Oryctolagus cuniculus: one gene and its partner. The main gene of each other region encodes a partner of the protein of the gene in region 2 in a complex. Links are inferred from orthologs where the notes say so. Each region holds a gene or a part of one and is shown on either strand. Other genes may lie near its edges. The genes, in order: LEP and LEPR.

Region 1 (15,357 bases), on a different chromosome or scaffold from region 2:
GCGGCTGGTGCGCTGCGGCCGGCGCACCGCGCTGATCCGATGGCAGGAGCCAGGATCCAGATGCTTTTCCTGGTCTCCCATGGGGTGCAGGGCCCAAGCACCTGGGCCATCCTCCACTGCACTCCCTGGCCACAGCAGAGGGCTGGCCTGGAAGAGGGGCAACCGGGACAGAATCCGGCGCCCCGACCGGGACTAGAACCCGGTGTGCCGGCGCCGCTAGGCGGAGGATTAGCCTATTGAGCCGCGGCGCCGGCCAGTTCTCTCACTTTCTGTCCCCCTCAAACCCACGGCACGGGTGACAGGGGTTGGGGGAGTGGCGGGACCTTGAGTAAGGCCGCCTGCGGCTGACAGCAGCCTTTCTGCCCACCCAGCCGCGGCCACTGTCCTCAGTGGTGGTGCCCCCAGCGCTCAGGGCCTCCTCTACACCCCTTTCTTGGGCAGTGTCCCCCCCCTTCAGCCTGTCCCCAGGCCTCCTCTCACCTCTCTCCATCCTCCTGGTCCCCCGGAATGCAAACACCTGCTGGCTCCCTGGCCTTCACAGCCCCGCCCTGCCGGGATCCTTCATCTCCTCGACCCTCGGGGCTGTCCAGCGTCTCCCAGACCCTCACAAACCCACTTGCTTCCGATTCTCAGGGCCTTTGGCAAATGCTGCCTCTTCTATGGTGCCTCCCTGGTTCCTTCTCCAGAAATCGTGGTGATGAGAGCTGACAGGTGTTGAGCTTGGCCATATGCCAGGCATAGAGTCAATACCTTTTGTGCTTTATCTCATTCTTGCCATAGAGCAGCCACAGGTGGGGATTCTGATTTGTATTATCCCCAATGGACAGCTAGGGAAACTGAGTCTCGGAGAGATTAGCTGACTCTTCCAAGGTCCTGTACCCTGACTCAAACACAATTCTGTTGCATTCTAGCAGGTTGATTTCCTTCCTGGGTCCCTCATGGAATTTTACTGCTTAAATGTTCTTCCTTCCATTATAGTTCATTATGTAAATTTCTTTTTCTTTTCTTTTTTTTTTTTTTTGGAGCTAGAGTGTGTGTGTGTGTAAAGAGTTATTTATTTGAAAGACAGAGTTACAGAGAGAGAGGTCTTCCATCTGCTGGTTCACTCCCCCAAATGGTTGCAATGGTGGAGCTGGGCCAACCCGAAGCCAGGAGCTTCTTCCAGGTCTCCCACTCTGGTGTCAGAGCCTGCGCACATGGGCTGTCCTCCTCTGCTGCTTTCCCAGGCACATTAGGGAAGCTGGATGGGAAGTGGAGGAGCCAGGGCTTGAACCAGCACACATACGGGATGCCAGCACTACAGGTGGTTGGTTAACCCACTCCATCACAGCGCCAGCTCCCTTCAAGCAAATTCTGAGACTGATTGCTTAAGAACTCTGCTTTGGCTTTTGCTTTTATTTTTGCAGACAATCTATATATGTATACGTAGTTGGCAAAGTCAGATGATGTGCCCCTCTACCCAGGCTTCCAAGGACAAGACCTGGCCTCTGACCCGATCTGCCCCAGACCTGCCTCCCGCTTCCCAGGGACTTTCCGTCCATCTCTGCGCCTGGTCTAGGATGGACGGTTGCTGCATGGCAGCTGCTGGCCCTAAGCACGTGCTAAGTCCTCGTGCTCCATGGGGCTGTGTTTGCTGTCTTGAGTCATGGCTCCGGTCCCTGGTCCCTAAACCCTGACCTGCTAGCCAGCCCCAGGCCATCATCGGGCCCCATGGGGACTGAGATGCAGGAGAACCGAGGCAGACTGCTGTCCACTCCCCCCTGCTGGCCCTAGCAGGGGACATTAGCTCAGTCAGCATAAAGCGTGGCTGTGTTGAGCAGAGTTCCAATAGGACAGCGGCTCTCGAGGCGAAGGCTGTGTGTCTCGCACAGTACAGCACGGCACGGCACGCACCCAGTCAGGCAGGCTGACTCAGCGGCCACTTCTCCATTCCTGTGATTGATGTCCATGTGGGCTGCTGGAGGTTACCAGTGTGAGGGACGGGCTGCCCAAGCTGTTTGTCCATTCAGGTATCAGAGGGGACTGTCGTTATGTGACCGTGACTAGGACCGGCGCTAATCTGGCAAGAGATGCACTTGGGAAGCAAGGGGTCATGAACACGTAAGTCTTAGGAAAGGAAGTGGAGTAGCCAGGACTCGAACCAGTGCCCTTATGGGATGCCGGCACTGCAGGCCGGGGCTTTAACCTGTCGTGCCACAGCGCCGGCCAGTGCTGCCATTTAAAGAGAGCAAACAACACAAAGCATTCTCCCAAACTACTTAGTATTTTTCACAGTGGAAGTTGACGCAGAGGGTGTGACTTCACAGTCTCAGCCTAGAGAGGATGTGAGCTGCCAAGCCCCGTGTTCCCCAGAGCCAGCCTGGATGAGGGATTGGGGTGATTTGTAATTGGAGAAGCAGGTGGGGCGCAGGGAGCCCACCAGCCTGGCTGCCCAGGAGGCCCCGAGTCCAGATCCTGGATGCTCCGTGTGGCTGTCTGCCACTGGGGAGACTGATTCGGCTTCCTGAGCCTCCTTTATCTCTCCTCTGTAAAACTGAAATCGAAACGCTTACCATTGTTCAAACGTGGCGACTAAAGCTCCATACGCCGTGTTTATGTGTGTTACGTGGCCAGAAAATGCATCAAACGGATGTTGCCACCTATGGACGGAAAATGTAGCACCTGCTTCCTCTGGGTCCAGAGGCGGGAGACCGTGGAAAGCCGGGACGAGCTTTCGCCATCTCCGGCTCCTCCGTCCCCTTATTTGCTAGCATCTTGGTTTTGTTTCAGGCTCGCGCACGGGCTGCAGACTCACGCGCACTCAGCTTGATTGCCTTTTGCCTCGCGTGTCTCATTAAGTTCCAGCAAGGAACTGCACATTTTTACTTTCGTGATTCGCGCCTCCTTGGCTTTGACAGTTTAACGCGCCGGGTGCACGTGTGGTTCTTCCCACCTCGGACCTCGCCCCAGCTGGCTGCTCAGCTGCCTGTGGCCACCACCGTCTGCCCTCCCCGACCGCTGCCCTGGCTTTAAAGCCCAGCTCAGGTGACACTTTTTCCAGGGAGCCCTGTTTGCTGTCCCGTGATAACTCTTTTTTCCCGCGTGGGAACGGCTTGTCTGTGTCCCCTGGGATGCGCTAACTGAGCTGGCATCATGGCACAGTGGTTTAAGCTGTCCCTTGAGATGTCACATTCCATACTGGACGGAACGCTTCCCATCCGGCTTCCTGCTAATGCACACTCGGGGACACAGCAGATGATGGCTCAAGGACTTGAATCCCTGCCACTTAAGAGGGAGACCCAGAAACTGAGTTCCTGGCTCCTGGTTTCAGTCTGAGCCCCAGCTCTTGGGGAGTGAACCAGCAGATGGAATAAGTCTCTCTCTTCCCTCTCCTTCTGTGTCTCCCTCTCCCCCTACCTCTTTCCCTCCCCCTCCTTCCCTCTCCTTGCCTTTTAACATATATATGAGCCTTTGGGAGTCGAGAGCACCTGCTGTCCACTGCATCCTTGGCGCCCAGTGATGCCTCTGACATATGCCTCACCAGATGGTTCTAAAGTGCTGGCTGGGTGAGAAAGCAGGTGAGAAAGGCCAGGGCCGAGAGAGCAGGGCTGCCGTGAGGGCCTTGGACAGGACAAGGCAGCCCCGTCCTCGCCAACAGCAGGCGGTGAGAGCACATTTCTCAGCGCCATGGAGCCCCTTCACGTGCATTTTTTTCCAAAGAAAACCTTTTATTTAATGAGTATAAATTTCATAAGTACAACTTCAGGAATACAATGATTCTTCCCACCATACCCGCCCTCCCACCCACACTCCCACCCCACCTCCTCCTCCCTCTCCCATTCCCAGTCCATTCTCCATGAAGATTCATTTTCAATTAACTTTATACACAGATGACCAGCTGTATACTAGGTAAAGATTTCAACAATTTGCACACACACACACACACACACACACAACTGTTTGAAAATAAGTTTTACTCTCATAATACAAGTTAACTCTCATAATACAACTCCTTGAGGACAGAGGTCCTGCATGGGGAGTTAGTGCACAGTGACCCCTGTTGTTAATTTAACCATTAACACTCTTACATATGACGTCAGTGATCGTGTGCATTTTACCTAAATTGATGCTCATAGAAGCCTGGAGATGGGCCCATCACAGGGATGAGGGTGGAGTTTTTAGTCACTCTGTGATGTGCCTAAAGCTGTTCTTTAAAGATTTATTCATTTGAAAGGCAGGAGATGGCCGGCGCCGCGGCTCACTAGGCTAATCCTCCGCCTGTAGCGCCGGCACACCGGGTTCTAGTCCCGGTCGGGGCGCCAGATTCTGTCCCGGTTGCTCCTCTTCCAGTCCAGCTCTCTGCTGTGACCCGGGAGTGCAGTGGAGGATGGCCCAGGTCCTTGGGCCCTGTACCTGCATGGGAGACCAGGAGGAGCACCTGGCTCCTGGCTTCGGATCAAGACGGTGCACCAGCACACTGACCACAGCGGCCATTAGAGGGTGAACCAACGGAAAAAGGAAGACCTTTCTCTCTCTCTCTCTCTCTGTCCACTCTGCCTGTCAAAAAGAAAAGAAAAAGAAAAGAAAGGCAGGAGAGACGGAGAGATCTTCCATCCACAGGTTCATGTTCATTCTCCAAATGGCTGTAATGGCCTGGGCTGGGCCAGGCTGAAGCCAGGAGCCAGGAACCCCATCTGGGTCTCCCACAAGGGTGGCGGGGGCCCAGATACTTGGGCTAACTTCCTCTGCCTTCTGAGGCGCATTAGCAGGGAACTGGATTGGAAGCCTAACATTCAGATGTGGGACGCCAGTGTCACTGGCAGTGGCCCCCAACGCTGTCCCCAGTGTGCCTGATGTTATGCAGTGTGAGTGGTTAGATTCAAACCAGACATTAACAGCTTTTCCCTTTGCCTTGAAGCAACCCTGAAGTCTGTGCTGTCACCACCAAGTGCATTTGGTCACAGTCGGGCTGGCTGCTCTGGGGGCCTGCGGGACACCTCGCCGTGGTTTTATGGACCGGACAAGAATCTTCTTCCAGAAGGGACGCATTTCATTAATAGACATCTAGATAAAGGCTCAGCTTTGGTGCAGAGGAGAAAGTAGCCAGAGTACAAAGCAGATCTCAGTTCATCCGCGCTAGGCAGTGTGGCTGGTAGTGGGCAGATGGGCACAGTCTGAGCTACTGGCCTCTGTAATGGGTGGTGGTTCCTTCTGCCTTCAGGCCCGAGAAACACATCCTGGGAAGGAAAATGCGGTGTGGACCCCTCTGCCGACTCCTGTGGCTGTGGCCCTGTCTGTCCTGTGTTCCAGCTGTGCCCATGCGGAAAGTCCAGGATGACACCAAGACCCTCATCAAAACCATTGTCACCAGGATCAGTGACATCTCACACACGGTACAGAGGCTCCGGGGACCAAGCAGGACCGTGGCCGGAGAGCACCCTCCGAATGCCAGCGCCTCCTGGCAGTTGGGGGAGGTTTAAAAGCATGGGGCTCCTGTTCAGTCTCTCTGCCTGCTGGGCTTCGGCAGTGAGCGAGTGGTTCTGATGCTAACCCACTCCAAGGGCGCTGAGGTTTGCCAGGTGTTTCTGTGAACGGATCGCAGGAATCTGATATCACAAGGACGCGTAAGGCAAGCTGGGTGCAGAGGTTAACGGAGGGACATATGGTGACACCCTCAGGCTTTGCAACCTTTGCTCTTCCTGCTGCACGAACCACCGCCTCTGCCTGTCCCTTCTCCCGTGGGCTTGCCCGCTTCCTTCAGTCCTGGTGCCTGGGGCTAGAGCAGCCTCCAAACCTCTGTCACCGGGATTCTCGCAGGGGCAGTTGGACTAGCTCTGCAAGCTTCTCTCTGCCCTTTCACTCCTGCATTTCAAGGCCACGTGCAAGAGCAGGGCGACCCTGGTTCCCATCGGCCCATGCGGCTGCACCTGGCTTTCCCTGGGCTTTCCTCTGGGGTCCACAGGCCTAGCCCTTCGGCTGTTGCCTCGAGGAGATTTGTCTGTGGAGTTAGGAAGACTGGCTGTGAGTCTTCCACATCTGCTGTCTGTCTGAGATCTTCAGCTAGCTCCAAAACGCCCTTAAGCTCTGGCGTGGTCATCTGCATGATGGCGATCAGATCATCTTCCCAAGGTGATTATCAGCCACTTACATGACCACTGGCACATGGTCACTGTAGATGTTTGAAGTGACTGTGGGTGGCCAGGAGGTGCCAGAGGGGCAGAAGCAGGGACAGCTCAGCTCCAGACAGAATCTTGGGCATTTCATAGAGAGAAACCCTTAAGTCTCCTGCTTTCAAAACAGTCCCTCCACAAGGCCGTCCCAATGTAGCTGGTGACAAGACTGAGTGTCAGGCCTTGAGGACTGGTAGAACCCCCCGGCAGCCAGAGCCACCGGAGCCGAGGAGGGAGGGGGGTCCCCATCAGGGGTGGCCTGGACCCCTAAGGAGGTGGGTGCATGAGAACCTGAATGGGAGCCTGCAGAGGGAGGGAGGGAATGAGGGCAGCAGCGGCTGGGGGTGCTGACTGAGGAACCCAGATGCTTGCGAAGAGGCTAAACTCAACCAGAAACATGGAGATGCGGCTGATTCTTGCGCAGGGGCCATTTGGAGAAAGGAATGACCAGAGAAGGCCGGTCTGGAAGTGGAGGAAGCAGTGGGTGGGAAGGGTGGGCATCCAGGAAGCCAGGGGTCCCTGGGCACAGGAAGAGGGCACCTGGGCCAGGTGGTGAGGAGGGAGGCAGAGGTGACGCGGAGAAGGGGTCTTCAGGCTCTGGGGAGCAGAGAGCCTTTCAGATCCACGTCTCTCACGCTTGCTCAGCGCTTGTTCTGCGTCTTCTTCCCACGCAGCAGTCGGTCTCCTCCAGACAGAGGGTCGTCGGTTTGGACTTCATCCCTGGCCTCCACCCCAACCTGAGCTTGTCCACAATGGACCAGACGTTGGCCATCTACCAACAGATCCTCGCCAGTCTGCCGTCCCGAAATGTGATCCAAATAGCCAACGACCTGGAGAACCTCCGGGACCTTCTGCACCTGCTGGCCTCGTCCAAAAGCTGCCCTCTGCCCCGAGCCAGTGGCTTGGAGACCCTGGAGGGCCTGGGAGGCGTCCTGGAGGCGTCACTCTACTCCACGGAGGTGGTGGCCCTGAGCAGGCTGCAGGGGTTCCTGCAGGCAATGCTGCAGCAGCTGGACCTGGGCCCTGGGTGCTGAGCCCCTGGGGGCTGCTCTTCCCCCAAGGACCACGCTGAGGAAAGAATCCTGCTCCTAGGGTCCCCAGGACAAGAGAGCCGCATGTGGACGTCCCTTCTCAGCACTCTCTCCGTGTCTCTCGCACTCCTCCAAGCCCTTCCAAAGCACAAGACTCCATCTGGCTTAGAACCAAAGATTGCTCTGCACACCAAGAAGGAGGGGGATGCCCCTTCCAGCAAAGAGCAGGCTTCAGTCATCAGCAAGAGCCATGCTGTCTCTCTCTCTCTCTCTCTCTCTCTCTCTCTCTCTCTCTCCCCATCCTCCAATGGGATCCAGAGAGCTTCAGGCTGGGGGCGGAGCCTTTGGACCATCAGAGCAAAGCTCCCCCTGGGAATTCTGGGGAGCGGCCTGAAGGCTACATCCACACGTGGCTGGAAACGCCCAAGCAGCCGTGGTGGGGGGCACGTGTTTATTTATTACGTGTTAGATTCCGAATGGACCTGAAGCCAAGAGTCAACTTTTCCGGGCTCTCTGGGGTCAGCCAGGGCTGAGCATGCTCCTGGGCTGCGGCTTCCAGTCCCGGCGAGGGGTCTGGCCGAGGCAAACCCTTGTTCAGTGACTTGAGGGCTGGGGTTGACCGGGCAAGGGGCCACCGAGGTGGCTGTCATGTTCGGTCTCTGCTAACTGGTGTTGTGTCTACTGTGATTGGCTTCGAGTGACAGTGTTTGCAATGGCATTGCCCTGAGTGGATCTCCAAGGGCTGGGTTATTTTTAGAAGCAGGTTAATTTCGGCAGGTGTTGTGTGTAGTTGTGTGCACCTGCTGGGGGTGGGATGTGTCGGTGGGGGAGGGGAAGGGTCTAGACTGGGTTTCCTAAGTGATGCATGTTTGGTGGGCTCTTTGGATGGGGTGAGGTCGTTTCCTTATCTTCTGCAGCCACTTAAGATGGTTTTCTTGAAAATAACAAAAGAGGCCGCTCTTTGAAGGGACTTGTAAGGATTTGCACGTTCCTTTGAGGGAGGGGGCTGAAGGTGGAGGCTGCTGGCTGGGGCAGCTGTGAGCTCAGACAGCAAGAGTCCCACGCCACACCCTCCAAATGAACAGTTCACAGGTGGCCCCGCTCTGGGTTTACAGCATGGCTGTGTCCCTCTGTCCCTATCCGGGGGTTGAGTGCCAAATTATAGTTCTTGTCTGATTGGTTCATCCACAGCAAGGTCATGTTCCCTACCCATTCCATGGGGATTCTTATTCCAGTGGGAAAGGGAAATCCTTCAGCAGGTGGTCCTAAGCAGTGGGCCAGAGCGTTTGGGTGGGTGCCAGAACGCCAAGCCAGGCGTCATCCTGGCCACTGGAGGTCAGGTTCGCAAGGATGAACCAGGAGGCTTGGGTTTTTCCACCATCCTGCTGCCATGATGCTGCCGTCACACCGTGGGTGGTGGATCTGTCCAAGGAAACTTGAATCAAAGCAGTAAACCTAAAGACTGAGCACCTGCCCCGTGTTCAGCCCTGACCGGTGCTGTGAGCTAGGGGAAAGCTCACCAAATAAATGTGCAAATCCAATCCTGCCCTAAGGGACCTGACGTTCCCACGGCAAAACCCCACTTGCTGGTTGCCAAGGCGATGGTCCACCACGGCAGCCCACAAGCTGAAAGCACAGTGTGGCCCCCAGCAGGTGCCATGTGGAGTGATCCGAGAGTGGCAGTGCCCGGGGGCCCACAGGGAGCCCTGCATGTACTCTGTAGCTTGTGTAGACTTTTAGGACACTGCTGGACCTAGTGCTGTGTAGCCACATCTTTTTTTTTTTTTAAAGAGAGATTTATTTATTTATTTTTTAAACTCAGAGTTACAGGAAGAGAGGGGCAGAGAAAGAGATCTTCTGTTCGCTGGTTCACTCAGTAAGTGGCCACAACAGCCAGGGCTGAATCAGGCGAAGCCAAGAACCAGGAGCTTCTTCCAGGTCTCCCACGAAGGTGCAGGGGCCCAAGCACTTGAGCCGTCTTCTACAGCTTTCCCAGGCCATCAGCAGGAAGCTGGATTAGAAGTGGAGCAGCCGGGACTCGAACGGGCGCCCAAATGGGAGGCTGGCATCGCAGGTGTTAGTTTTACCTGCTGCGCCACAACATTGGGCCCTAACCACATCCTTTTGGAGCAGTATACCTGAAACTTTAAAAACAAGAAATGACAGGTTGAGTGTTCCTAATTCAAGATGCTTAGGACCAGAAGTGGTGCACACTGGATTTCAGAATATTTGCATATGCATAATGAGACATCTGGGGGATGGGATCCCCAGGTCCAAACACCATATTCATTCATGTTTCATATACTCTATACACATGGTCTGAAGGCAATTTTACATAATGCTTTTAATAACCGTCTTAGACAAAGCTTCATGGCGTGGCATTTTCCGCTTGTGGGATCATATCGGTAGGTGCTCGGAACATTTCAGCTTTGGGAGAATTTTGCATTTTCAAATTCAGGATGTTCGACCTGTCCCTAGGACTGTAACAGCCAACAGGTGGCAGGAGCAGGTCTGGAGCCCAGAGCGTCCCTCACCCCGGGTAACGCTCTCAGGGCAGGGGACACGGGAATCCTTTCTGTATGTGATCTTAGTCAAAAGGCTGAGAAGTGATGGGAGTGCTTTCTGGAAGAGAGACATTTTGCAGGTGCTGAGGGAGGTGAGTTCGCTGCAGGAAGGAGGTGGTTTTGTTGGACGCTTGGTGTGTGCAGGTGCATGGGTGTAGGAGACGGTGGGAGGTGCAGAAGAAAGAAGTAGGAGGGAAAAGGACATGTTGAGGGGCAGCTGAGGGCCGCAGAAGTCAGATGGTCAGACAGCTGGGACTCGCAAGTTCCGGAGCAGAGGCTGGGTGGTGGCCAGGGTGGAACCTGCCCAGAAAACCGTGACTTAGGTCATTGCTGCCTCTGCACTGGGCTGAGGCGTCTCCAGCTCTCTGCTCTCAAAACCTGGCACAGTGTGAAACTCCCCAAATGCAAGCGATTGTCTTCCTTCCTTTTTTTTCCCCCCATAATTTAAAAATGTTTGTTTTACTGAAAAATAGATATTTAAATAAATCAACTTCGCCCCCTGGTTTTCGTTTGCTGTCGCCTTTTGGGGTGTGTGGGGGCTTCAGGAGAGCTGTTTGTGTGTGACAGGGCAAGGCCTGGCTGGTCTGCAGCCATCCCTGGGGTCAGCCCCGCCCGGGCTTGGCCACAGCCAGCTGCTGGTTATTCAGGCGAAAGGATTACCCCGGCGGGCGCGCAGAGCTGGCCAGGGAGCTTGGCCTGCGCCAGAGGCGGTGAGTGGCTGCAGATCAGCCCCAGGCAGCACCAAGATACCCCCCACCTGCACCCACTAAAGTGCTCCCCCCATCCCCGCCCGCAATCAGCCAGACGGAGAGCGTGCAACCCAATCACAGACCCAGCCAGGTACAGAGGGCAGAAAAGACAGAAACCCAAGGCAAAATGACCTCAAATAAAAAGAGAATGGACTGAGCCACGTGGCCCAGAAACCCAGGCCCTGCCTTCTCTGACGGGTCTCTCCTCTGTACCTCTGTGGTGGTGCCCAGGGTCTCAGACACGCCTTTCTCATCAGTGGTGCCCATGAACCCGGTCGGCAGGGCTCTTACCAGCCAGGCCTTCATCATGTGGCCATACCTGTTGCCAAGGAGGGGTTGGGAGTGGGGAAACAATGAAACTCCTCCTTCTGCCTGAAAACTGTCTTTGGCTCTGGCCCCAGCATGCCTTCCAGAATGATCCAGAATGATCCAGAATGTGCCCCTTCCCCTCTTCATGATGGATCTTCCCACACTGGTGATCAGCGCTCCCACCTCTCCTGCACTTCCTGAGGGGTATCATCTCAGAAATGACTTGAGATGGCTGTGTACCACGCCCAGGGTTGTAGAACTGTTGAGCGCCAGAGTGGGGACTCCAGTCCCGGTCGTAGGCCCCAGCACTCCAAGTGCATCCTTAGGGACCCCCACGGGCCCCAGCCAAGGCCTGACAAGTCCAGTTGCGGCGTCTACAGGAGACAGAGCAGCCTGGGGGTGCCCAGTGCGGTACCCACCCCACATTCCCCTGCCACCTCCCAGCCCTAACTTTCTCTCTTTCTGTTTTTAAAGACTTACTTATTTACTTGAAAGGCAGAGCAACAGAGAGAGGAGGAGAGACAGAGAGAGGTCTTCCATCTACTGGCTCACTCCCTAAATGACCACAACAGTCAGGGCTGGGCCAGGCTAAAGCCTGGAGCCGGGAACTCCACCCGGGTCTCCCACAGGAGGGTGGCAGGAAGCTGGATTGGAAGCAGAGCAGCCGGGACTCCAATCGGTGTTCTGCTATGGGATGTTGGTGTCACTGGGGTGACCCCTAACTTCTCTTAAGCATGGGGGAAATGGCAGCAAAGAGGACTGCGTCTATGAGTTGGAAAAGCTAGAGTCCCTGGCCAGATCCCAGAGCACCCAGAGGATGGGGCAAAAAGGGCACTCTGAGTTAGAAGCATTCTGTTCTAGGGCCAGCAGGGTGGCCCTGCAACACTGGCATCCCGTAGGCAAGCACTGGTTCGAATCTGGGCTGCTCCATTTCTGATCTAGCTCCCTGTTAATGCTCCAGGGAAAAGCAGCAGAAGGTGGCCCAAGAGCTTGGGCCCCTGCACCCATGTGGGAGACGTGGAAGCAGCTCCGGGCTTTGGCCTGGCCCAGCCCTGGCTGTTGTGACCATTTGGGGAGTGAACCAGCGGATGAAAGATCTGTCTGTCTCCACCCTCCACCCCACCCCCACCACCACACTGTCTTTCAAATAAACTTAATAATAATAATAAAGTTATCTGTTCTGACTTTGCGTGACTTTGGATGGTATCTCTCACTGCCACTCAGATTAGCCCACGTGTTGTGCCCACAGCATCTCCTTAAATCCCGCCAGATGGATGCTTGCAATAAGGAAACAAGGGCTAAGCCAGGTTCACTCTGTGTCCTGGACCAGCCCCGCTGGCACCAGGACTGAAGCCCTGGCTCAGCACAGCCAGCTCCTGAGCCGTGGCCTCTGTCCTCACCCTGAGAGTGACGGCCAAGGGCAGGCCTGTAGGGTCCTTCTGTTCTATGAGTCCCTGAAGGTGACATCCAGGGAGAGAGGGTTGGGAGTGGCAGTGTCCAGGGGTGCAGGGCTGAGCCAGGTCTTCACCCCCAGGGCCCTAAAAAGGTGCGGGAGCCGTGATCCAGCCCAGTCGCCCACCTGCCTGCCATGGGGCGGGGCTTGGTGCCGCATGAGCCCTTGGCGGGCCATCTGGGACAGTGGAGCCGCTTTGCTTCTGAGTCTGGAACGTGGCTGAGAGCCGCGTGGGGAGACACGGAGGCCTCTGTGGAGGTGACTCCCAGGCCCTTCAGGTCCCAGATCTGCCTCTATTTCAGGGTTCTCTCGGGCTCCCCTAGGGCAGCAGCTCGCCCCTGCCAACAGCTGGCAGCACCTGGCCACACGGACCCTCCAAAGGCGTGGCTTTGCTGAGCTGGTGCAGAAGCAGAGGCGGGGCCAGCACAGCAGGCTGCCTAGCTCTGCTCACAGCACACAGCACACAGCCAAGGAGCGCACACCCCTTGTTACTCCAAAAGAGAGAGAACGGTGTACTCCAGGCCGTAGCAGTGGGGTCAGAGCCCAGAGGTGTCCCCGGAGGGGGGGGGGGCTGCCAACTTAGCCTCTCACTCCTGAGGATGATGGGATCGGGGAGGCAGAGCAAGGCAGCAAAGCCCCTGTGCCCCAGCACCCAGCCCAGACAGCGCTCAACCCTTACGCAGTTTCCGCAGCCTCTCAGCGTCATTGTGTCCACTTCACAATGAGAATGAGTCCTTGGGAAGATTTGATGCTAAAGCATTTGGGAAGATATTAGCCCAATGCCTGGCATTGCCACTACTTTTTTATTATTTGTTTATTTGAAACGAACAGTGACCAAGAGCAAAAGAGAGAGAGACAGACACACACAGAGATCTTCCACCCATACTTACTTACTTTATTTATTTATTTGAAAGGCAGAGGGTTAGAGGGAGAAGGAAAGACACACACACACACACACACTCAGAGAGAGAGAGAGAACTTTCATTATCTGCTGGTTCACTACCCAAAATGCCTGCAATGGTCAAGGCTGGGCCAAGCCGAAGTCAGGAGCCTGGAGCTCCATCCTGGTCTCTCACAAGAGTGTCAGGCGCCGAAGGACTTGGGCCCTCTTCTGCTGCATTCCAAGGCACATTAGCAGGGAGCTGGATTGGAAGCAGAGCATCAGGGACTCAAACTGGTGCTGTCATATGGGGTGCCAGCTCCCCAGTGGTGGCCTAACTGCTGGGCCACACACGGCCCACCTCTGCACTCACTGAAGCCGGGGCCTGAGCATCACTCCACTTTCCTGCGCTGGCCAGCCCTCTGACCCCAGCCCACAAGGGGCAGCCAGAAAGTGAGAGGGAGTGAGTGAGGGTCGCAGAGGAGTGAGTCTCGGCCCAAGGGGAACGGGGGTCTGCAGCGAATGCCCCAGTCTCCTGCCCTCTGCAGGTGCGACTGCAAGGTGCCTTCTCCGGTGGGACCGAGGCTGCGTGCCGGCACCAGCAAACAGGTCCGCAAGGCCCTGCCCTTCCCTCTCGCCTCGTGCTTCCCAGGGATGCCTCCCAAATAAACCTGCATGAGAATCCTCACGGCAGGCCTTGCTCTCTCGCACAGAGTCCTGAAGTAGTACAACGGCCAAGAAAACAGAGCCGAGCTCGGATGCTGAGGACTGCAAAGGGAGGTGCAGCCACGCGCGAAAACCCAAGGAGAAGCTGTGCCCGCCAGGGGAGGAAGTCACAGAGGGAGGGAAGCAGGGAATGACTGCTGAAGATCCCCTTGCCAGGGCAGCAGGCGAGGCCAGGGCGAGGCATCCACCCACCCTCCATGATCCCTTGGTGGCCAGAGGCCAGGAGCCTCCTTCCCATATGGGCAACCGTTTGTGTCTGGGCTCCGCTTCTGATCCAGCTCTCTGCTGTGGCCTGGGGAAGAAGTGGAAGATGGCCCAAGTCCTGGGGCCCCTGCGCCTTCGTGGGAGACCCGGAAGAAGCTCCTGGCTCCTGGCTTCGGTTCGACCCAGCTCTGGCCGTTGAAGCCATATGGAGAGTGAGTGAACCAGTAGATGGAAGACCTCTCTCTCTCTCACTCTCTCTCCGCCCCCCGCCTGTAACTCTTTCAAATAGATAAATAAATCTTTTTAAAAAGACAACTTTGAGATAACAACGGAAACTTGAATGTGGATTTTATTTTAGATGATGATGAACAATTCTTGTTGATTCTCTCAGCTGTGACAATGGCCCAGTGTTAATGGCTTTTAAATGCTTCCTTGGCTGTTAGTGTGTTAGAGGTGCAAACTGGCTTAGATTAGGGTGAAATGGCATGCTACCTCAAAATGCTTCAGAAAATATATATATATATATATACAACTACATATATATGTATATAAATATTAGAGCAATTCAAAAAGTTCCTGGAAAATGAAATTGAAAAGTTCAGGCATTGGTGCTGTGGCACAGTGAGTTAAACTGCTGCCATATCAGTGTACCAGTTCCAGTCCCGACTGCTCCACTTTCAATCCAGCTCCCTGCTCATGCACCTTGGAAAGCAGAGGAAGATGGCCCAAGTGCTTGTGCCCCTGCCACTGCTGTGGGAGACCAGGATGGAGTTCCAGAGTGCTGGCTTCAGCCTGGCCCAGTTGCAGCTGTTGCAGCCATTTGGACAGTAAACCAGTGGGTGGGAAGAGCTCAATCTCTCTCTCTCTCTCTCTCTCTGTCACTCTGCCTTTCAAATAAATAAATAAATATTTTTTAAAAGGATAAGTTTATTTTGGTGCATTTTGAAATCCATGCAGACAAAGGGATTCCAAAAATTTTTTGGCAACTGCATATAGTGAAAAAACTGCGCAGCTTTCAAACAACATTTTTTGTACCTAAGTAAATAAGCTTCTCTTTTAATTTCATTTTTCTGTTAGAGCTAGCTGGCAGGGATGCTGGAGTCTGTTTTATGGGGCCCTATACTTTTTTTTCCTGAGGTTTGTTTTTTTTTTTTTTTTTTTTTTTTTTTTTGAGCCAGGAGCTTCCTCCAGGTCTCCCACATGGGTACAGGGGTCCCAGCACTTGGATCATTCCCCCACTGCCTTCCCAGGAGCATGAGCAGGGAGCTGGATCGGAAGTGGTGTAGCTGAGA
Region 2 (16,430 bases):
GCACACCACTAGACTTAGTGGTGAAGACTGATGCCAGAGAAGGAACTGCACGAACCAGCTGAAAAAGAAGGAGGAGAGAGATCTGGAAAAGCTTCATGGGGAACATGATGGTTAAAGAGAGTTTCAAAAGTTGGATGAGGTGGGTAATTTGGCACAGCAGTTGAGACATGGCCTGGGATGCCTTGGGTCCATATCAAAGTGCCAGGGTTCAAGTCTCAGCTCCACACTCAATTACAGCTTCCCACTCATGTGCACCCTAAGAGGCAGCAGGTGATGGCCCCAGTAGTTGGATAACTCCTAGGCATGTGTGAGACCCAGATTGTATTCCGTCCTCCCAGGTCTCTCTCCCTACCCAATCTCTCAGCCTCATAAATAAATAGATAGATTTTTTTTAAAACTTAGAAAAAATTTCCCCATCTCTCAGCCTCATAAATAGATGGGAAAAATTTTTTTAACTTAGAAAATTTCAAAAATAAAGAAAGGATGGTAAATGTTAACCTATGAGATGGAAAATAGTGAATTTCCATATGATAACAGCATAGCCACTGAAGACAGGGACGGTCAGAGAGCAGGGTAGCGCATATATTGCTGATGTGTTTTCCTAATATGAGAAAATTAAGAGAACAATGTGAAATGATCGGACAAGCTGTTTTCTTCCTATCTTACATTTTAGATTCTCTGATCCAAACCACTGGTGAATCTGGGTATATCTAAATTCAATATTTTAAGATATATTTTAATTTAGATATGTATTGAAATCTTCCTGAAATTTCCACCAGCTGGATTACTAAAGAGTCATAAACAAATACCTCATGGGATTGTGATAAATAAGTGAGGTAGTCTGTGGCAGAAGCCAGCATCAAGCTCAACGAACGCTCAGCTGCCCTCCACTGCCATTATGATGACTGTGAGAAGCTTAAAGGAGAACACACTGTTTGATTTAGACCTTGAAAAGGGAACAGGATGTGGGTAAAGAATAGGTAAAGGATGTGAATAAATGTCAGACACTGAATTTGCTAGGCAGGAGAAATGCACAGCCACAGACATGGGGAATGAGCTCATCGCAAACAAAGGCAGCTCTTCCTCTCATGCAGCACATACCGCCTGGGCTATTGCAGCACAGCGCCGTGTATCCTGGGACTGTGCCCACCTTGCGCATTGCTTTATAGTAGCTCTTAGCACAGCACATCACACAAAAACACGTATAAATATTTGCTGCATGCTCAAAGTGTTTTGACCAGAACTAAAAGCACATTCATTTGAGATGCGACCTCAGGGAGTTTCTGTGACATCAGTGTCATTTTAATAAAGCACAACCAGAGCCATGCTGAGAGGACAAGTTAACCAAGATACGGTCAAGCAATAAAACAAAATGTTACCATGTTCTGGGTTTGTATGGACCAACAACTTATTTATTTGGTTGATTAGAAGTTAATAAATTCTTTAGGATGGAAACATCGCTTTAATGGTAAAATTTTCAATGTTATTTTAGCAAAGTTGGATGGAAATATTTTTAATTATTATTACAATTGTCTGTGGATCTTTAAACATGGAATATGAAACAAAATTGAGCCTTTCATTTGGTGAATCTGTGACGGTCATGAATCATTCAGTTGTGAACAGCCTGCAAGTACCTTTGGCTAATTTAAGCAAACAAATATCTTAAAAGAATGCTTTAGAATAGTCCCCCAAATTAAAAAAAAAATTAGACACCCAATCTGGAAAAGGTCAGAGTTTTAGATGGAAAGAAAGACTGCAGCATCTCATCAGAGTACCACATATGGGTGAATCAGCCCAGCAGCTTGTGTCAACATCCAAATTTTCACAAGAAGAAGACTGGCCTGGCACAGGCCACAGGCTTAACCTTGTCCAGAGAAGAAATACCTCCTCTGGACCCAAGTACTACTTGGGAAGGGCAGTTCACTGAAGGAGAAATCACAGTACTGCTTCCAGAACAGAGCAAAACGAAAGCTAGACATGCAAAAACAAAGAATTCCAACACAAGAATTGGTGATCATTTTGAACATCAATGATAGTACTAAGCTACGATTCTGTGATGCTCTTGGAACCTACTTAACTCTTCAAAGCTACTTTTCTCATTACTTAGAGGACTTCAGACTTCTCTAATTTTTGAGTTTCTATTTTTATAATTCCCTTCATCCACTGGATTTTTATTTATCTTCATTTTATTTGAATGGCAGAGAGAGAGCAAGTTCATTGGCCCGCTAGTTCACTCCTCATATACCTGCAACAGCCAGGAGTGGACCAGATTTGGTCAGAAGCTGAGCACTCAACCCAGGTCTCCCGCTTGGCTCAATTACTTGAGCCACAACCTGCTGTCTCTTAGGATGCACATTTGTAGGAGGAAGCGGGCTTGGAAGCGAAGGCAGGACTCCAACCCAGGCATTCCAACATAGGATGAAGGCTCCCAAACAGCATCTTAACTAGTGTGCCCAAATGGCCGTTCCAGCTTGTTTAAAATGACTGTTTCTTGCCACTCTTAATCTACCTGCCTTTGGCAGTCTCTTTCCATTTTCTCCCTCTACTAAAAGAACCAAGTTTGTTAGATGTGTATTAATGATAGGCTGTAATTGAGAATGAGTCTATGAGTGAAATGCATGTGATAAATATGTAAATTTGGTATCACATACACTGCTTACTCAGTGACTTCTTTTGCTAATACTTAGTTGTTTGGCTAATTAGAGAGTAAGTAGATGAGAAACTTTTTTATATGTGGTATGTCACAAATTTTAAGAACACAATGTTCAAGACGGCACTGTGGCTCAGTGGCTTAAAGCCACAGCCCGCAACACCAACATCCGGAATATGTCCTGGCTGCTCTCCTTCTTTTTTTTTTTTTTTTTTAAATACAGAGTTACAGAGAGAGGTAGATTCAAAGAGAGAGAGAGGTCTTCCATCCGTTGGTTCACTCCCCAAATGACAGCAAGGGCCAGAGCTGAGCTGATCCGAAGCCAGGAACCAGTAACTTCCTCCTGGTCTCCCACATGGGTGCAGGACCTCAAGGACATGGACCATATTCTACTGCTTTCCCAGGACATAGCAGAGAGTTGGATCAGAAGTGGAGCAGCTGGGACTCAAACCGGCTCCCATATGGGATGCCAGCACTGCAGGCCAGTGCTTTAACCCGCTGTGCCACAGCACTGGCCCCCTGCTCCACTTCTGATTCAGCTCCCTGCTAATGCACCTGGGAAAGCAGCAGAAGATAGCCAAAGTCCTTGGGCCCCTATACCCTTGTGGGAGACCCTGAAGAAGCTCCTGGCCTCTGGCTTTGGCCTGGCCCAAAGCCAATTTGATAGGAAGTGAACCAGAGAGTGGAAGATCTCTCCCCCTCTGTCGCTCCTTCTCTGTCTCTGTAATTCTGCCTCCCAAATTAATAAATAAATGTTTTTTTAAAAAGGACACAATGTTCCTGTATATTTTTAAATCCATCTTCACAATATCATTAAAAGGTAGGAAATGATAAATATTTGCTCAATTTTACAAGTATAAAAATATAGTCATGCAGAAAGCTTAAATACATTAATGGAAAAGCTATTGCCAAGCCCCAGCTATCCTGGTTTCTATTATAGAAGTTAGCTAATAGATTCAGTTATGTCAATATCAGGCAATCTACAGAATCATAGGTCAGGGGAAGCTTAAAACTCAAGGGATCATTAGGGAATGAAAGAAGTGTAGGATACTCACAGAAAAGCACAGGGGAAATTCAAAATGAAGCCATGAAACACACATGCAGCCCTGGTAACAGTGCCTACAAATGGGAATACTGACTTCTCTGTTTAATCACTTGGGGATATTGAAATTATGTTTAATTAATTATGTTTATTCGACAAATGACACAAAACTGGAAAGGTCTAATAAAATATTGAATGACAGATCTCTCCTGCACTCTCTGTCTCCTCTCCTCCTCTCTGTCTCTCTCTCTTACAGTCTCCTTCTCTTTTTTCCTTCGCAGCCCCTTCACTCCGGTCTGTAGGGTGTTCCCAATAAACCCTTTCCCTTACTCCGGTGTCCGGTGTGCTTTGCAACGGCTAACATTAAGATATAACATTGGTGCCGTGACTCAGATAGCCTTATATTGGTAATCCAGCATCCTCCACTGCTCTGGGGTCCTGGATTTCTGCTGGTCACAAAGCACACCTCTGGAACTCTTTCCAAGCCACAGAATGGTCTGCAATCTCCATCCACACATCGGCCTTCCAAATTTTGAGGTAAGATGCGGAACGAAAATTCCTCACGGCGACTGCTATTTGAGTGGTGGTCTACTGTTGGATACTCTCGTAAAGGTCGTAGCACTGGACTCTAGCCACCACTCTTACTTCTACTTAAGGCCTTTAGCCTCTACGGACACTGTGTCCAGGCAACAGTGGGTGCGAGTGACGACTCCATCTCTGTTCGCCTCTTTACAGGCTAGGCCCTGGGCTCCAGTGGGCACTTGGGTGACGACCCTGCCTTCTGCTCCCATTCTTCTCTTAGTCAGACTGCCAGGGCTTCAAGGACACTTGCTGTCCACCGATCTGACCTACTGAGTCGCCATGGGAAATTTCTCCCGCATTCCATCTGATTCTCCTCTTGGTTGCCTTTTAAGTAATATGGTCCCTCTCAAATTGGCCCCAGCCCTCAAGCAGAGACACCTAATCTTTCTCTGTAATCGGGTGTGGCCCAAGTATGACCTTGACGGTCAACCGGGATGGCCCCTCCACGGTACCTTTGACCCTGATATCATTCAGGACCTTTAACACTTCTGTGAGCATTTGGGAAAATGGAAGGAAATTCTATATGTTCAAGCCTTTTCCTAATCTTCGAACTGAACTTTCCCTATGTACTTCTTGCTCTCCCGCTCAAGTCCTTCTGGTCTCCAAGATTCGCACTAGGGGGCAGAAGCCTGAGCAAAAAATCCTTTCTTCTGCCCTGATCCTGTCATCCTGCAGATGAACTTCCTTATTGCTCCAATCTACAGGCACCTGCTCAGCCGCCTCCTGAGGCCTCAGCGGCTGAAGTTCCAGCGCCATTATCCCCCTTGTGGCAGCTGTGTCCTCACCTCCCCCTCCTGCTGAATTCCAGGGGGTGGTGTCAACCTCTTCTGTCCTATCTGAAGCCCCTTGCTCAACTATTTCTCAAAGCCATTCTCTGCCCACGTGTACTTCCTCCGTAGCTCCTACCCCCATTCTCATGATATCTCCCCCTCCCACCTTAGAACCAGTCCTGGCCCAAAGTCTACTATCTCTGGGAATAGCAGTCTCCATGGTCTCCAACTGGTCTTTTGTCCCTCTCTTGTCCCAGTCTTACCATAAGAATAGCAAGGGAATGGTAGTCCCATCCTTTGGGCTCCCTGCTTATTGAGAAACAAATTAGGTATCCCACCATTCTGATGGCTCTTTTGTTTTATCATGAGCAAGCCAGACAGAAAAATCAGATTTCCTGTGTGGACCTGGCTCACTGTAATTTTTCTTTAAATCTAGGAATACCACTACCTTTGAAACTATTGCTTTGTAAAATGCTGAATTTCTTTTGCAATTTATTTTAACAGGTTTCTGGGTAATCAGTACTCAATGAAACAGCAATGGGTAATTAGTACTTGTCTTAGATGAATGCAATTTTAATTTTAATTAAATTCAGATATATGAGATATCAGCATCTTAAGTCATTTAGGTGTAACTGCTAATTTAAATTGGGTAAAACTTTTGTATACTCAACATGTTATATTCTATAAAAAAACTATTCGGATTAGTTTACAAACTGTCTATGAAAATAGTTCAACACTGTTTAAAGTAACTCAGGCTAAAACTTGATGCATTACCTTAATCTTAATTTGAAGATTTTTAACAGCTTATCTCAAAATGTAAATCAAGGACATTGGCAGATGGAAAACATCACAAATATACTCATCTGTTTCTCTTTGACATAAAATTAAGATCTGATTCTCTGTTAAAGCAATGTGTTAAAGTAATTATTATATTCTCTTGATGTCTGTTAAATTCTAATTGTTTAAAAACAGCTGAAATTTTTATTAAGAGCTATAATTTATTTAAATATGTGCTTATTTTCAGACATTTAAATAATTACCTTGTAACAATGATCCAATTTGGTCTATATTATGTTATGATGTTAAAGAATCTTACTTCAACCAGATATTTTGGATTTTGAGCCTTCTTGATATTCTTGACAGGCATTCAAAAAATCAAAAATCAAAGTTTCAAAGAATTTGGACTCTGAAATTTCCAGTAAATTTTTGACTTTGGTTTTTCCAGTTCGGGCTATTTGGACTATATTAGAAGTACTGTCAAGATGTGAAGTGGTGCTAAATTTTAAGTTTCTATAATATAAAATGGCACTAATACAAATGTCTGAGAATTAAAAAGTCTAATAATCTTGTGTTACTAGACATAATGGTTATCTTAATGAGAAAGCCCCAGAGGCCTAAAAGAGTTACATGCTTTGTAAAATCCTGCTTTCAGAAATACTGTGTGCAGTAAGCAAGTGCCTCTTGTTGGTTAATGAATTTATAATTTTAAATGTGGCAACTTAAAGTCTTTTGTCATCCACAGTTTGGTATATCAGATTTGTTGCTCATAAAACTAAAGCATTGTTGGTTCTGTGTTTAGCTGTCTTCCTATAGGTTTGATGAACTTTTTCCAGCCACTTGTATTGTATTCAGTACTTTGGGATGACTCTGTAAACAGATGAAGCCAATAATATATTAAAGGTACCAACTGTGAGAACGTATGGTTAGCTGAGGTTACTAAAACAAAAGTAATTCAAATCAATTGGTAATTTACAAACAGGAGTTAGATTTTTAAAAAAGCTATTAAAACTGTTTTATTGTTCTATCTATTATGTTGTGTGTGTATACATATTATATGTCTACATGGGAAAATTTACTAAGAATTTTATTTTAATTGGCTTATAGATAAGATTGTCCATAAATTTAAACAGCTAAAATAATTCAAAGATACATTTTAATTCGTGTGACCTGAATATCTGTATCATATGTTTTAAATGTGTTGGTAGAAAAAACTAGAAACATTTTATATGCTTGTGCTGAAATTTGCTGGTTAAACAAGCTACATCATATTAGATATTTAAGAAATGTTTCCAAATATATGTATTCTTAAAATTTATAGAAGGCATTGGACATCAGGCATGATGATTGGACATTAGGCATCAGAAGCAATGGGTGGCAGGCCTGTTAATGGCTGCTCTGTACAGTGATCTGCCCTCAAGGAGACCCAACAGGCCAGTCCATTGCAGCGGCTTTCAATGTGGTAAGCCTGGGCTTCAGCAGAAGTCAGCTTGTGAAGAGCCCTGGCAGCTCTGCCAAGAGTTGGATCAGTGGAAATGGAACTGCCCTGGAGTCGAAGGACACCCAGGTCAGAGCCACAGATCTTATTGGCTCTAAGCTGAAAAGCCCTTCACTCAGCCCAGCTTTCAAAGTGACCACTGCAACTGAGGAAATGGCCAAGTAGGGTCAGTAACATTGCAGGCAGAGCTGTATATTTCCTGTTGGAGTTGCCACCTGCCTTTACCTGGCCAGCTCTCCTCCCTGGCCAGCTAGGTAATGGAAGTCAACAGGGTGCCTTCCCCAAGGAGGTTCACACCTCCCTTAGGATGTACCCTATGTAAAGAGATAGGTCTGGGCCTCTTAATTTACAAGGCCTAAAGCCCACCAGATTATTATCGAGCCCCTTCTGTCAGGTTCTATTTGCCTCTCAATCAGAAAACTTATGTAGCTTAGACAGAACCTTTCTTAGCTCCTCTAATAATGACTCTGTCCTTTGTTCTAGACCCTGTCTAGCCTGCTTGGGTTTCATTCCTTTGTAATCATAACCTCTACATCACCACCAATGGCTCTACTCCCAACCTGCCCAACCTGTGTGTACTAATGGTCCTCTCCCCCACTTAATGTTGTATGATTGTTCAAAATTTCTCTACAGACAAACCCCACTACCTGTAAAAGTTAAGTGGCTTTTTTCCCAGTCTTGGTTGGAATCAGTTTAAGCCACATCCATCAAACTGTCCCCACAAGGGTCCAAAGACCCCCTCCATTTCCTCTCTATAAAATCCTCTTATTACCTGGTTAATGCTACTCTTAGGATCATTGGTTACTATTCTCACCCTGTCTTCTATACTGCAGTGTCTAAGTGTTTATAGCAGGTGATAATGGAACAAACGAAGGCCTTCAGCAATCAGGTGGTCAACCAAATGCTGCTACGGGAATATACTCCCCAACCAGGAGACAGCAGCTTGAGACATCGCCCCATGTCAGCAGGAAGTAGCTCTAAAGACAGATCATCGTCCCTCTACCCCTCCTGGACTTTTGGGACTAATGTAACCCCATACAAATCCTGCTTTATAAAAAAAACAAAAGGGGGGAATGTTAGGAAACTGGCACAGTTTTAGCCAGGTGGCCACATGGCCCAGCTACCTGAGCCAGGCTCCACCCCCATCCTAATGGGATTCGCTGCTCCTGCTTCCCTGCCTGCCCTCAGGCAGAGTTTTAAAAGGGCCTGTTCCTGAACACGTGCTCTCTTGGCCCTTCTCTCCTGCACTCTCTTGTCTCCTCTCCTCCTCTCTGTCTCTCTCTCTTACAGTCTCCTTCTCTTTTTCCTTCGCCGCCCCTTCACTCCAGTCTGTAGGGTGTTCCCAATAAACCCTTTCCCTTAAAAAAAAAAATATTGAATGACAGAACCAAGAATTCTGGCTGGAATTATTGCCTGAAATTTAGCCATAATAAAATTTTGCACAGATTTTTAAATTTCTTAATTTTTATATAAAATTCAAATTTATGAACACAGAATATAGGGAAATCTGGATAACTGTCATACTTGTTTTAGTTTAGTTTACTGCAAATAAAGAAATAATAATACCATTTATTAAACACAGGGCCAGACATCATACTAAGCACTCTATGTTTTTTGAAGATTTTCTTTCTTTATTTATTTGAGAGATAGAGTTACAGACAGTGAGATGGAGAGAAAGTTCTTCCATCTACTGGTTCACTCCTCAGATGGCCACAACTACCAGAGCTGGGCCAATCTGAAGCCAGGAGCCAGGAGCTTCTTCCAGGTCTCCTACATGGTTGCAGGGGCCCAAGGACTTGGGCCATCTTCTACTGCTTTCCCAGGCCATAGCAGAGAGTGGGATCAGAAGAGGAGCAGCTGGAACTAGAACCAGCACCAACATGGGATGCCGGGGCCACAGGCATAACCTACTGTGCCATAGCGCCAGCCTCACTAAACATTCTAAATGCATTGTGTTAATTCTCACAATTCTAAAAAATTTGTACATCATCAACACCATCTTCCTTATGCTATAGATGAGAAAACTGATAATTTGAGAATAGGAATGCCTGGATTGTGATAGCTAGTCAATGCTGAAACTAGGGGTAAAGTCAACCTAACTTCATATATTAATCAATAGGCTGCTGTAATTGTTTAGAAGCAAATGCTATTAACAGAAGACTCGAGACTCTTGGCAACACTCACATTGCAATCTCAGCTCCACTTCCTATTCAATCTTCCTTCTTATGCACACCCTGGGAGGCGGCAGATGGTGGCTGAAATAGCTGGGTCCCTGTCACCCACAGAGGAGATTTGGATTGAGTTCTGTGCAGCTGGTTTCAGTCTGGCACAACCGTAGCTGTTGTAGACATTTGGGAAATGAACGAGCAAATGGAACATCTTTGTCTAAATATCTCTCTCTCTCAAATAAAATTAAATAAATAAGCAAACAATTTTCAGACAGATAAAAATTAATTCTCTAAAAAAGAAATAAAAGAATATGTCATCTTTACTTACAGCCAGAGCTAAATGACCCAGAGGAATCAGGGTAGTTGGATGGGAAAAAGTGAAGGGACAAACACTGCATGCTAACGTCCTTGGCCACTCCACTCTCTCTTGCAAATGACAGCCCTGTTTATTAATTCCAGCATCTGGCCTGAGCTGCTCTGTTTTACTACCTCACGCTGACACGTCTTTGGTGAATGATTTTCTCCCTTGTTTTTTTTTTAAAGAAAGATTGATCATGCCTCATATTTACATGATGTTCTGGAGACCTGAGTTGCTCTTTGCTTTAGCTTTTGAAACAGATTTTAGCGTCGTGTATTTATTTACAAAGGCAGGGAGCGGGGAGTTGTGCTGTGTTACCAACATTTGGAGATTCTTCTGGAAGGATGAAAGAGTAATTGCAAACGAACCTCAAGCTTCACGGAAGTATTTGGTGCATTCTGTTTGTAGAGGGATGAAATCTGATTCTCTGAGCTTCTCCTCTTGACACATTTCTGCTCAGACAGGTAAAATTATGAGATTTTTCTAATTTCACAGGATGCTACATTTGTATTACAGCCTTTGTAAGATTTTCTTTTCTTTTTTTTTTTTTTTTTTTTTTGCTTTCAAACTTTTATTTAATGAATATAAATTTCCAAAGTACAGCTTATGGATTACAATGGCTTCCCCCCCATAACGTCCCTCCCACCCGCAACCCTCCCCCTTTCCCACTCCCTCTCCCCTTCCATTCACATCAAGATTCATTTTCAATTCTCTTTATATACAGAAGATCAGTTTAGCATACATTAAGTAAAGATTTCAACAGTTTGCTCCCACACAGAAACATAAAGTGAAAAATACTGTTTGAGTACTAGTTATAGCATTAAATCTCAATGTACAGCACACTAAGGACAAAGATCCTACATGCCTTTGTAAGAGTTTCACAACATGCAATGTATGAAAGTCAAAGTGTGCTCTGTGCCCCCTGCCACTCTTCAGGCCTATACCCACCTCTCCTAACCCCTGACCAGGCCGTTTTCTGCTCAGCCTTTAGGTCTTTGCTTAAAGATGTCACTTCTTCAAACCTATCCTGACTACCTTGCAGTCTGCATTAGATCCCTCTGTTCTACCATTTTCCTTCTTCATCTCAAAATGTGTAGTTTTGTGTTTACCTATGTGGTTATAAATTTGCTTCTAACTAAAGTATAAAATTACAGTTTTATATTGTTTTCCTAACAATATAACCGAATGCAGGATTTGGCACATGGTAAGTGCTCAATAAGTATTTGCTGAATGAATTAGCGCTGTCTAACTTTTTAGGTCATTAAATCAGAGAAAAAAATTCAATTAGGGGCGGCAACGTGGTGTAGCAGGTAGAGTCGCTGCCTGCGGTGCTGGCATCCCATATGGGCACCAGTTCGAGTCCTGGCTTCTCCACTTCTGTTCCAGTGCTCTGCTATGGCCTGAGAAAGCAGCAGAAGATGGCACAGGTACTTGGGCCCCTGCACTCACATGGGAGACCCAGAAGAAGCTTCTGGTTCTTGGCTTTGGATCAGCACAGTTCCAGCCTTTGCAGCCATCTGAGGAGTAAACCAGCAGAGGGAAGACCTCTCTTTCTCCCTCTCTCTCTCTCTCTCTCCCTCTATTCTCTGTAACTCTTCCTTTCAAATAAATAAATAAATCTTTAAAAAAAAGAATTCAAGTTAAATTCCTAATATGTTACATCACCTCTACAAGCAAAAAGTTAAAAAAATATTCAACTAAGTCCCTCACTTCAGCTTTTTTTTTTTTTCATCTTTGGTCCTCATCTCTTTAAAAGCATGGCATATAGAATTTTGTTTGTGAGTAGATCCTTCTTGAAAAAATGATTCTCTGTTTGTCCATCAAAGATTCAGTCAAAGGTCTTTTGGGAAAACAGGTCAATCAGATCTTTTCTTTTTTTTTTTTTTTTTTTTTTACTGGCCACGTGGACAAAAGCATTCAAGCACAAAGGTCATGAACAACACAAACATTGTAAAGGCACAAGACCTGCCACTGATTCATTGCCGCATTCTCGAATATTTCACAGGACTACACTGTTGTCAAGATGATGTTTTGGGAAAAAGTAAAAATTTAACTAGAAAATGTGGATAACATTTCCAATCATTTGCCTTACAGATTTGCTTTTGTTTTTTTCCATATCTGGATGGTAAAACCTATCACTGTACAGTTATGAAGACAGGGATCAATCCCACGGTGTTCTCCATCTTACTCCTGGTGGCCAGCCCAGAAAATGTTCTCATTCTCAAGAAACAATTATGGAGCAAATAAATGCATCCTACCCTAAGTCTGCTTCTCCTTATGTGGAGGCAAATTAGGAATGATGAAATCAGCAAGGGAAGTTTCATTATAAAATATGCCTGCATTACTTGTTTATCGACCACCATGAGTGTTGTTCCTTACTGTCACTAATAAGGACACCTTTTGGAGTTCCTCTGTAGGAACCACGCTGCCATCAAATGACTATCTGCTTTATTCACTGTACTTGACTTCAAATAATCCTTGACTTCAAATAATCCATTTATTATAAAATATTTTAGGCATTTTTGAAATCAGATAGAACTGCCCCACCATGCCAATTATTGGATAGAGAAAACACTCATTTGGATACTGGGAATATTCATTGTTTATCTTTCATATAAATTTTAATTCTTATCATATATACATAAGAGATTTTAATTATAAATCTTATCAGCAAAGTCACAAACAACACTGGATTATCAGTAGTACATCATCACTACTATATCCCTTAAATTCCAATGTCCCTTTGCTTATTTGGGAAGGCAGCAGGGATTGGGAAGGGGCCCGCTAGACATTTACACTATTCATTTACAATTCTGTCAAGGATACTAATAGCTGCTACTATTAATAAATGCTCTTTCATATAATATATAACTATAAGTTTTCATATATAAAATGCTCTCAGCTGCCCTCATTGGCAGAACTAGAACCAACAGATGGGAGTCAGAAAAGTACTAACTTCAACTCACTGTTAGTAAAGAAGAGCCAACAAATAATAAAATCCTACTTAAAATGTGTGGCTGCCAATTTCTTGGCCTCTGATTTTTGTGCATTTACCAGAGGGGCTTACTGTAAATCCTGAGGTGATATTTGATCTCCTTGGAGATGGTGGTGGACAAGGAGTCATTTTTCCAGCCTCTCTTGAGGTATTAAAATGCCAACATTAGCACAGTGACATTTTGAAGTACAGTGCTATTGTTTAGGGAGGAGTATGCTCAACTAGTAGCCCAGTGGGATTGGAGAGTTTCAAATAAAAACCACAGACTAGAATTTAAGGCGAAGGATGCCAGTGTGCCTAAGGAAAGAGAACCAGGCATAAAGGGGGAAATTTCCTCCCAGAATAACCCTTCTCATTGTGTTGGCCGTATGTCTCGCTTTAAAAGGTTTCCTGTTGACGCTGGCTTTATCTCAGGTCAAATATCACAGCTGTGTGCAGTGTGCATATATCGCACCTGGGTTTCTCCATTTCGGCAGCTCTGGATCGGTCCAATAATCCTTGGAGAGTGAAGAGGCACTGAGGGAGGAAGGAGAATGAGGATAGCTACAGTGTTTGCTGATTGCTGTAAAGATGGGGTGCCCCTGGGAACTCTTCTTACTATGCCCAGACAGGTAAGCTTAACCCAGCTAGAAAAATTATGTATGTATATCACACCCACCCACCCACCCACACACACTGTTACCTATTATACTACTGATCATTCACCAGAAAACATTCATTCTAACTTGACCCAATGCATTAATATACTTAACTAATTTAGTCTGCCATGCTCTTTCTGGAAAGAAAGCTTAGGTGTAAATGTCAAATGTCTCACTGCAACTTGTGATTCCTGCCCTATGTTCCTTCAAGAGAAGCTGATTGGTCATCTGTTGCCAACAGCATAAACTCCAAATTCCCAGGCCCATCTTAATCTGGCTCCACCTAACTTTCTAGCCCAGTAACCATTCCTCTCCATGAACCCTTACCCCAATTACCCAGTCCCCCAAACAACCAGGTGACGTTCTAATCCGTGGCCTTTGCTCATGCCTCTCATCACTGCCACCTTCCAGCTCTGCTCTACACTGTTCCAAACGTCCAGGGACAGCCTCAGGCACTTATTCTCAGTTCGGGTGTGTATAATGGCAACAAAAACTTCCTAAACTGTTACCAATGTTCAAAAAATAGAATTTCCATTATTTTAACCATTGGTTTGACAAAGATATAAAACAAGTTTTACAAGACTATATTTGCTGCAATACTGATACACAAGCATTTCTTTTTTTAATTTTCTTTTTAATTTTAGCTCCCACATACAAGGGAGAACATGCTGTATTTGTCTTTCTGTGTCCAGCTTATTTCGCCCAACATGAAGTCCTTCACTTGCATCCATTTGATGCAAATGGTAGAATTTCATTCTCTTGTGTAGCTGAATAATATTCCATTGTGTATATTCACATTTTCTTTATTCATCTGATGATGGACACTATGGGTGATTCCATATTTTGGCTATTGTGAACAGTGCTGCTGTAAACTTGGTGGTGCAGGTACCTCTTTGATACATTGTGTTCAAGTCTTTTGAGTATACACCAAGTACTGGGATTGCTGGGTAACATGCAAGTCTATTTCTAGTTTTTTAAGAGACTTCCTTACTGTTCTCCACAGTAGCTGCACTACTTTACATTCCCACCAACCGCGGGTAACAGTTCCTCATTCTCTACATCCTTGCCAGCGTGCGTTACTCTTTCTTTTGGATAACAACCATTCTGATAGGGATGAGGTGATATCTCATTATACGTTTGATTTGCATTTCTCTGATAGCTAGTGATGTGGTGCATCTTTTCATATATTTCTTGGTTGTTTGTATTTCTTGAGTGTTGTCTATTGTGGTCTTGTGCCCATTTCCTCACTGAATCAGTATGGGTTTGTTGTTGTTGTTCTGGTAAATTTTTTGATTTTCTGATATTTTGGATGTTAATCCTTTGCCAGATAATTAGCTTGTAAATGTGTTTTCCTATTCTGCTGGATGTTTCTCACTCTACTGTTGTCTCCCTTGCTCTGCAGAAGCTTCTGAGTTTTGTATAATCCAATTTGTCTAGTTTTGCTTTTGCTGCCTGTACTTTGGGGGTCTTATCCAAGAAGTCATCACTTACATCAATATATTAAAGGGTTTCCCCTACTTTTTCTTCCAGCAACTTCACAGTCTCGGGTCTTAAATTTAGAGCTTTAATCCAACTTGGGTTGATTTTTGTATATGGTGAGAGGTAGGGATCTAATTACATTCTTCTACATATATACATCAGTTTTCCCAACACCATTTATTGAAGAGATTATCCATCACCAATGTATGATCTGGGCACTTTTGTCAAAAATCAGTTAGTTGTATGTATGTTGATTAGTTTGTGAGCTCTCTACTCTGTTCCATTGATCTCTATGTCAGTTTTTATTCCAATACCATTCTTTTTCAATTGCTATAGCTTTGCAGTATGCTTTGAAGTCAGGTACTGTAATGACTCTAGTTTGATATCTTTTTTTCTCAGGATTGCTTTGGCTATTCTGGGTCTTTTGTGATTCCATATGAATTGTAGGACTGTTTTTTCTAATTCTGTGAAGAATGTCATTAGTATTTTGATAGGGATTGCATTTAATCTGTAGATTGCTTTAGGCAGTATAGACATATTAAGGATAGTAAGCCTTCCAATCCGTGAACAAGAAGTATCCTTCCATTTTTTGTGTCCTTGATGATTTATTTCATCAATGCTTTATACTTTCATCAAAATTTCTAACTTCTGAAAAGTTGACATGAATGTCTCTACAGAGGACAACAGAGAAGTTCTAGAAAAATTGCACCTGCTGTACTTCTTTTAATTGATTGAAATCCCAAGAGCAGAGGAACATAAGCAATTCATTCTGCCTATCTCCTGATGATCATGTAGTTGTTTTAAGACTCCAGCCCGGGCCAGCACCATGGCTCACTTGGTTAATCCTCCGCCTGCGGCACCGGCATCCCATATGGGCTCCGGGTTCTAGTCTGGGTTGCTCCTCTTCCAGTCCAGCTCTGTGCTGTGGCCCGGGAGGGCAGTGGAGGATGGCCCAAGTGCTTGGGCCCCTGCACCCACATGGGAGACCAAGAGAGGCACCTGACTCCTGGCGTCAGATAGGTGCAGCGCCAGCCGTAGCGGCCATTTGGGGGGTGAACCAACGGAAGGAAGACCTTTCTCTCTGTCTCTCTCCCATGTCTAACTCTATCTGTCAAAAAATAAAAAATAAATTAAAAAGACTCCAGCCCTCAAGGTCCAGGTCCTTATAAATATTGAGTAGAACAGAAACATAGAATGAAACTTTAAAAAATAGAGTGACGTTGCAGAAAATGGGCAAGGGAAAACGGTGGGAATAATCCTAATATATGAGCTATAATATTTTATACAGGAAGAGAAAAAAGAGGAGACTTAGATAGAATTCCTCTCATTGCTTGACCAAGTGGTTACTGGGCCATTGTTCTCCAGTCTGCCTCTGTGGTGGCTCTGTCTACTTAACTGTCCATATCCCTGAGTAGACTATAAGCTCCTTTCAGTGAGGGCTGTGTATTTGTCCCATGACCCCCAGAGAATATT

Evidence for each region.
Region 1: the proteins of LEPR (region 2) and LEP are in contact, whole or in part, in a crystal structure (PDB 7Z3R), measured with the Mus musculus proteins. The link is inferred for Oryctolagus cuniculus from reciprocal best matches to the Homo sapiens genes LEPR and LEP. Residues at the interface, in NP_666258.2 of Mus musculus: Tyr439, Leu440, Thr441, Arg466, Ser468, Leu469, Tyr470, Gln499, Pro500, Ile501, Phe502, Leu503, Leu504, Ser505, Val560, Phe561, Glu563, Asn564; in NP_032519.1 of Mus musculus: Lys26, Val27, Asp30, Thr33, Leu34, Lys36, Thr37, Thr40, Arg41, Gln92, Gln96, Asn99, Asp100, Glu102, Asn103, Asp106, Leu107, Leu110.

The regions. Positions count from the first base shown.
Region 1 is NC_091434.1:164,683,006-164,698,362, forward strand, and holds the end of LEP (leptin), read left to right. Parts: intron 1-5,200; 5' UTR 5,201-5,228; coding exon 5,229-5,372; intron 5,373-6,823; coding exon 6,824-7,183; 3' UTR 7,184-10,246; downstream 10,247-15,357. UniProt on the Homo sapiens protein: Key player in the regulation of energy balance and body weight control. Once released into the circulation, has central and peripheral effects by binding LEPR, found in many tissues, which results in the activation of several major signaling pathways.
Region 2 is NC_091438.1:107,178,923-107,195,352, forward strand, and holds the start of LEPR (leptin receptor), read right to left. Parts: upstream 9,947-16,430; 5' UTR 9,816-9,946; intron 1-9,815. UniProt on the Homo sapiens protein: Receptor for hormone LEP/leptin. On ligand binding, mediates LEP central and peripheral effects through the activation of different signaling pathways such as JAK2/STAT3 and MAPK cascade/FOS.